2 linked regions of the Arabidopsis thaliana genome follow. The protein of the gene in region 2 purifies or fractionates together with the protein of the main gene of each other region. This does not show direct contact. Each region holds a gene or a part of one and is shown on either strand. Other genes may lie near its edges.

Region 1 (3,928 bases), on a different chromosome or scaffold from region 2:
GTTTGAAATCTTTACACTTGTCTGCGGATTTGTTAACGCTCTCTCGTGTTTGAGTGGAAGCAGCAGTCTCCACCAAATAATCATAGACCTATAAATAGATCATTCCAATTAGCAAAAAAAACTCTAAGACCAAGTCAGAAGATAACTATTGCAGGCAAAAGAACCTTGTATTCTGATCTAGCAATTGGAGCAATAACTCTTGTAGTATCTTTTGAAGCACCTCTTGAGTTTAAGAAGTCAAGCAACTCGAAATTGGTAAGTGCTCCTGCATTTGCCTTCATTCTGCAAATAACCACACCAAATTTTGACTACAAAAACAGAGAAGGAAATCGAACAAAAACATAATGAAAGATGGATTATACATTTTCATCTCTTAGGTTGAGCAGAGAGACTTTAAACCAAAAAGAAGCTTTTTCCTTCAATTAAACGAAGTCGTTTTTACAATATGGGAAGAGAACAACACTAAGGATACTCCAAAATCAGAGTTTTTGCTCCTGAAAAATTCAAAGGGAACATCAACATCAAGGAACAGATGATTTCTCGTTCCCACAAATCATGATGCAATGGGAACATCAACATCAATAACGTTTACTAATCAAGATTATCATGAAATAATCATCACTTTCAGTGTCTTCATATAAAACAATTCATCCAAGTCAGACACATATGTAGAATAATCCTAATGCTTTCAGCTTAACTAAACTTAAATAAGCTAATACACATCACAAAACTATACAATTCAGATAAAAAGCATTGTTTAATGTACGAGCAAAAGCATCAACCTTTCAGATAAAAAGCATCAATCCGATGAAACCCAAAAACCAAAAGTTGAAGGATCATACTCATCGATCAATGATCAGTAATGAATGGTATCAAAATCCAATGATCATAAAAGAAAATTTCAAAAGAAAACAAAAAACAGAGGAATCGATGAGCACCTTTGTGATAGAGACCTGAGAAAATCCAATACAAAAACTGAGCCTATTCATTTCAGAATCTCTTTGGAGTCCAAAATCCATATCAAAAGTGATGAATCTTAGCTCTATGGAATCAAATTCAGATTTCAACACAAAGGGTCTCTACATACCTGAAAGGGGGAATCTTTCGACCAAGATATTGATGTGCTTCAATTCATGAAGACCCTAAGAACAAGCAAAGAAGATGTGAGACCTCAATCTATTAGTGTATATAGAGTCTCTGTTGTAATTAGAGTCTTAGTGAGTCATTGTGAACTGGTATTTTGTATAAACCAGTGTAGATAGTGTTGGTTTAGTTCGGTTTAATGGCTATGGTTTAGGCCTCTTACAATTGTATATAAACCCTCAATTGTATCTTTTATCAAATTAATGAGAATGACATTAACTTGGTAATATGATCCATTAACCGATAAAGCTAGCAAGCTCTCCTCTGATCCAAAAAGCTAAGATTGTTTCAGAAACACTAAGAACACTAAGATTGTTTCAGAAATTCACCTCGGACCAAAAAGGATAAACACGCAACACGATGATGATGATTGTTGCTCGTACAACTCGGAATCGGTAGCGAGTTCGAAAACTAAACGGGGCTCCGGTTCGTGACCCGTCTCGATGATGAGTCCAACCTTCCGATGGCGATTCTGAAGCCGCAACAGAGAGGAGACAAAAAGAGGCGATTTCTGAGGAAACTAATTTTTAATGAAACTGGGCCACCCAATTGTCCGTATGGGCGCCCATTATGTCTGCGGACAAAATTGGTCAATAAACTACATGACCCGTTTTATTTATGGGCTGACCACGGACTGCCCATAATGTTTTGGATTGGGCTTAGCCCATAGTCGGATGACCATTTGACAGCTCTAACTATATCTATTTCATCAGCTCAAACCGTGAACAATGCACATCCAGACAATAACGTTCTTGTCGAATATGACCCGTCACGTTCCATTCCTCCACCACCACCGAGCAAGATCTACAAAGTTGGTGACTCCAAGGGATGGAGTGTTTCTCAAGAGAGTGATTTTTATTTCAAGTGGGCAGAGGAAAGACACTTTGATATTGGAGATAATCTTTTTTTTTAATGCGGCAACGACATCTTAGAGATCAGCCGAGACCTTGAATTCATATCATGCGACCCAACTTCTCCCGTGGCGATGCACAAGACAGGGCATGATCTTGTGAAGCTCACCAAACCAGGAGTCCACTACTTCATTACCTCAATGACAAGTCAATCCGAGGCACGAACTTTTTTTTTTTTTTTTGTTGTTGTTGATATACTTTATCGGCTGATCCGGTAAGCCTCGGTAGGAACGCACCGAGGCGCTATAAAGTGGACTTCTCTCGATCCAGATAGAATTGAGCCACCACACTGCCTGGTCCGAGTTTGGAATGCCTTCTGTCTAATGCGAGGCCGGACTTAAGCTACAAGTCGTGGTCGGGCCACTCACCAAGGCTGTAAGCCGATAACTGTCCCCAATGTTCCAACAACGAAGATGGAATTGTCACTTATGGACCGCTTCAACAGATGGTTACACACCTACAGGCCTCAATCTCATCACTAAGCATTCGCTTTCTGTTTGGCTTGAGATTTAGCTATTTAAAGCCTCTTTCTCTTGTTAACGTTTTTAATACTTTTGTTTCGAATGTATTTTTTTCTTTCCCCATAGTTGTAGAGTTGGTTTGATTCAATCAGTATTACATCTGGTTTCCGATTCCTTAAAACATAATTGAAGCATAAACATGTATGAACATCAGTAATTAATATCCCAATGACTTAGGCACTGAATTTGTTCTTTTTTTTTCCGATATATATAGTATCTTTATTGCTATATGGGAACCAATTCATAGTGTTTACCATAATAATGTGAAAGAATGTCATCTTAAGATTCATGTTCTAAGCCTTCAACAACATTGAAACCAAATTTATAATGTTGCATTGAGAAGCTTTACAAAAGAAAACATTAAGTAAAGTGTAACGCAAGACTGAAATAAGAAAGATTTTGATGGAAATAAAAAACCAACCACTCAAATGTTTCCAACACTTCGATAGAGCTAGAAATTGCAATGTAAGTACCTAAAAGGAAGAACTTTTATGAATTGAAGTTAACACTTTTTGGGGTATTAAAAAAACTTCATTTAGGACAACACAACCCTCATAATTCTCAAAACATTTATACACTACCAATTATATCTCGAAGTGCAATGTAAGTACCTATTACCCCAACAAAAACACTCATCACTACCATTCCAAACAACATTATAGTCTCACACCCAATTTTCTTGTAGTTTCCAAAGATCTTCAAGTAACATAAACAAGGCAGAAGTATAGAAACCGTAACGCTCAATAATGCTCCAACCAGCGACATCATATAACCAAAAAAGGGAAGTGTCTCGGCGATCACGACACTACTTATGATGAAAAATGTGCTTATCAAGAGATGTAAGTATGCCTTTTTGGAGTACCGTGAAGGAAACCAATCTTTTATAGTGTTCACGGTTGGTGTGATCATCAGTGCGTATTTGGCTACCGGGTTTACGAGAGTTGTGTATATTGCCACCTTCGAACTCGTCTTATGAATTGGAAGATTCAGTGTTATTTGTGATAATGTTTGTGATCCATACATTAAGTAGCCCAAAACTGCCATTGATGTGTATCCTATGGTGCATAATATAAAACATATTAGTAGGACCTGCACAAACAAAGAGTGAAGTTAACATTATTCATTTTCAATAAACTAGACTTGGGGAAAATAAAATCTTATAAGAAAAGCGAACAAAACAGAAACAAACGAGAAAAAAAAAAACTCTGGAATGGCTCGTTTGAAACCTAATTTATTTTCGGATGACAAAAAAAAAGACGAAAAAGGGTCATGGATTTGTTGGTTAATGGTAGTGATTGGTTTAGATAGAAATGACTTACATTGTTGAACTGATGTTTGCTTTTCATAGAAGAA
Region 2 (3,928 bases):
AGCGTTGTTTATAATGCATATACAAGTGGAAAAGTTTCAGAGAATGAGTTTGATGAATGAACTTACAGTGACCACCATTGGAGCAAAAGGCTTTGCGTCCTCTGCTCGCTCAGTTGGAACTGATGGATAGCTGATGCTCTCTACTCGAAACTTGATCTGCCATTTACAATGCCTCGTTATAAAAACATACCACATTCAGATAATTATGCTTAAAGATACATGCAGGAACCAAAAATTCACCTGACAGGCATCGTCAACAATATAGTCTTCTTTCGGTTCTCCATATTCCCACACCCATATCATTTGCTTCCTGTGAACCAAAAAACATTATACTTTGTGATCAAATGATATATAAAGATGTTGGTGCAATCTCCTACTCATAGTTGGAGAGCTGGTAGTACTACATAAACTGCAGGACACATATTCTTACCTATTATAAGGGTCAGGCTCACAGCGGTTGGGTTTCGGCATAAGTGGAGCAGGCACATAAATATCGTCAAAGAATCCAAGTGTTACTGCCAAGTATAGAGGTACCGTAAGCATGTAAATGATTAACCATATCCATGATTTCAAAGTATTAATCCAATTCATAAGTAGCTAATAAGCTAACAATGTACTAGAGTAGCAGGATGCAGACAGTGCACAACATTGGAATTCTTCAGGGAACAGTATAATAAAGTACTCACAGCGCAAGCCATTGGCGTCAGATTCTTTGAACTTTGCAGCTATGACCTCACCAACAAATGGACGGAACACAACAATTCTAAGACCTACCTACAATCACACAAACAAAGTATTAACAACACGACATGAGATATTGAATCAAGGCAAGATAAAACTTTTGAAAATAAAATTCTTAACCAAAACCGTACAGTGAAAGTTAGACTAACAGATAACGATTCCGAAGAACCAAAATCTCAGAATGGTTTGAAACTCTAGTACGGTAATGATGAGTCTACAAAGATGTAACTCAATACAGTGCAGAAAGTGTGCAATACACGGTGATAGGTCAACAATGATGCCACTAACAGTGACATTGGGAGGCCATAAAATTGATATAAAAAACCATGTTCAACTGATAAAAGAATAGAGATGAGAAAAGATCAGCAATTTGGATATACCTTATAGGTCGCAGCACCATCACCGGGTAACACAAACCCTCCTTCTACTGATTTAATGTCGTAAATAGATACACAAAGCCCCAAATCAGCTAAAACCTTTCATAGCAAAAATCCACTTTGATAAAATTAGCCAGGTGTGTATATAAATAAGCAAACAATGGATACCATAAAAGTGAAAGAAAAAGGGCAATGAGCAAACCTTGTCCAAGAACACATTTTGAAGCACTGACTTAATGGCATCTTCGAGAGGGAGATTAAGTAGATGCGGAGGCACTCTTAGTGAATGTTCTAGCTCGCTAAGATAAAACATTTCTGAAAATTTTGTTCAAAATTCACAAGTCAGATGCATGGAAAATTGGAAACAAACAATCAAAGAAGTAGAATTCGAATAACGAATCAGACAAATTCGGAGCATTCTTGGTCATTAACATGCATATCATCAAAAGTTCCAAAATTCAAATCTAAAATTCATTAAATCATAGTACGTAATAATAGCCCAATCCTCAAGATTAAGCATGTGCAGAGCGTACAAAAATCTGCCATTGTCATAACTATACGAGAGAACAAAACTATCTAAAATCGGGCAATACCTAAACCATTGAAGATAAGATGGTCTCGAAGGGAACTCGGAGAGATGGTGATGAAGACAACGATTAGACGGAAAAGTGAGAAGTTGGGAATAGATTGGAAGAAGAGAGAACCTACTAATCGAGTGAGGAAGATGCGGAAGAAGAAGAACGATTTAGGGTTTAGTTATTAAAGTCAAGAATTAAAACAAACCGATCGGTTTGTCATCGTTACGCTTATAAACCGAACCGAACTGAAAACCGCACTCTTTTTATTCATACCGGTGGGCCAAAAAAGGAAATTGGGCCAAGTCCAAGGTATGACAACAATCTGTTGCTGTCAGCCTGTCACTATAGTCTAAGTAATATTAAGCTCTGATGAAAAGTGTGAAAAAAGAAGAACCAAGATATACACTGATGTGGGATAAAGAATGAAGCTAATCATAACATTGATATCATGCTTGAGTAGCTTGTTTAACAAAAAGAATCTGAAACTGAACCTAAGTTGCCAGATTTTTTTTTTTTTTTTTTCGTATCAAGCTTGAAGATTGCACTGTTGCAAGTAGGTGTGATGGTAAGGGACGTGTATGTTCCAGTAACGTTTGTAATTCTCTTTTCCAATGTCCAACCACGGCTTCATGACCCCATCGTAGTGTATAACTGCCGCTTGTTCGATGTCAACCGCTTTGACTCCTGATTCGCGACCTAACCCCATCACATGCCATCTCTTGTCCAATGCTAATGTTTGCCTATAGAAAGTCAACCAACCTATTGGTAAGCTCCCAGCTTTCCACAATGGTCTCTTTGTTCCCTGCCAAAAAAACAAATTCCCCAAAACCATTGTTAGGTTTACGCCCATTACATAGACAAGATATGTTGTTGCTTGTAACCATTCTTCTTCTAGGAGATGATCTTTAGCACTAGCTTGCTTATGTTCTTTGCTAGTTACAGCAATGTTATTTGTGTTCTAAATTCAAAACCTTTCATCCTCGATATAGCCAACCTAAAACCTAATAATTATTACAATCTTTTTCATATATAATGACGAATCAACAAATCTAAGAACCCATTTGAAAACTTTGAATATGGCTACAGTGTTATTTCCATAGGGAGAGCAAGTGCAGTAGAGTGTGTGTGTGTATATAGCGTACCAGGTTGAAGTATTTTATGTATGTAGAAGTCAACTTCCGTATTCTCCATTCTTCGAGATCAATTAGATTCATCCCGAAAGCCCATGTGCAAGCTCTAGGACTAAATTTCCCAGCGACCCATGTGTCTGAGAAATTAATAAATGTGCTCATTGATCGAAATGAAGATTCACCTTCAAGACAAGTCTCTACAGCTCCAACCACCTTTCCTTTCATATCAATGCTCCACAGTCTACTTAAATCTCTTTGAACAACTACATCATGGTCCAAGAGTACCATCTTGTTCAAACCCGGGAATATATCCGGGAGATAGAAGCGTGCGTGATTGAGTGTAGAAATGAATCTTGGGTCATTAGAGTTTTGCTTCATCAGTAATTGATCATAATCTCTAGGCAGGACATCCATATCATCAATGTTTAGGATTTGGATAGTAGCTTTACTTTGAATGTTTAGCAGAAACCACATTGAGATTGCTGGGTAATTAAGTGAATCAGTCACGACATGGAAGACTATTCTTTCTGGCTCCTGCAAACAGCAATCAGAAGCCACATTAATAAGTGGCGGAAGTAAATGAGAAGATATAGTGTAAGACACTCTAAAATTAGGTATAACATATAATGATAACCAAGTAGAAATTTGTATAAGAAATGCATGATACCTTTGATGAAGATATCGTAGAGTTAACAACGACTGAAGAAGCCAAAACATTGTCAGAGAAGACAACATAATGATTGAAATTAGCGTCAAAATAATTTTGCTGGTTAGGCATCTGCCTTTTTTCAGGATCCAGTGAAAAGTATTCTGATGTCAGCCGCATTGAGAGACAGTGAAGCCCTTTTGGGGTGGTCCTTGCTGCAAGCTGCATTAGATACGCTGCTTGATTTTTCTGCGCCTGAACTTGTTCTTCTGTGTTATAATTCATGGCACGGAGTTTGGTAGCGATGGCAGGGCAATTGTTAAAGACACGACTAGCCTTATATAACACATTTTCCATGGGCTTCACCCTGCGGAGAGCGCTGAAAGAAACAATCATGTCAGAGGTTACTAAAATAATATTCTTAAACAGCACGACTTTTGGCACTAAAAGGTTGTA

Evidence for each region.
Region 1: the proteins of AT1G06790 (region 2) and AT3G28956 fractionate together in Arabidopsis thaliana (co-fractionation; one large-scale study listed by BioGRID). This does not show direct contact.

The regions. Positions count from the first base shown.
Region 1 is NC_003074.8:10,981,100-10,985,027, forward strand, and holds the start of AT3G28956 (RNA polymerase II, Rpb4, core protein), read right to left. Parts: upstream 1,607-3,928; 5' UTR 1,473-1,606; intron 1,322-1,472; exon of another isoform or gene 1,143-1,321; 5' UTR 1,088-1,142; intron 1,087-1,087; exon of another isoform or gene 939-1,086; intron 495-938; 5' UTR 371-494; coding exon 363-370; exon of another isoform or gene 283-362; coding exon 165-282; intron 89-164; coding exon 1-88. Other genes in the region: AT3G28958 (Cupredoxin superfamily protein), read left to right, coding at 1,607-1,732, 1,814-1,991, 2,076-2,201, 2,336-2,433; AT3G28960 (Transmembrane amino acid transporter family protein), read right to left, coding at 3,146-3,664, 3,895-3,928.
Region 2 is NC_003070.9:2,085,148-2,089,075, reverse strand, and holds the start of AT1G06790 (RNA polymerase Rpb7 N-terminal domain-containing protein), read right to left. Parts: upstream 1,895-3,928; 5' UTR 1,712-1,894; intron 1,434-1,711; 5' UTR 1,432-1,433; coding exon 1,321-1,431; intron 1,218-1,320; coding exon 1,122-1,217; intron 775-1,121; coding exon 687-774; intron 516-686; coding exon 431-515; intron 311-430; coding exon 241-310; intron 157-240; coding exon 67-156; coding exon of another isoform or gene 37-66; exon of another isoform or gene 1-36. Other genes in the region: GAUT6 (galacturonosyltransferase 6), read right to left, coding at 2,223-2,498, 2,839-3,360, 3,494-3,851.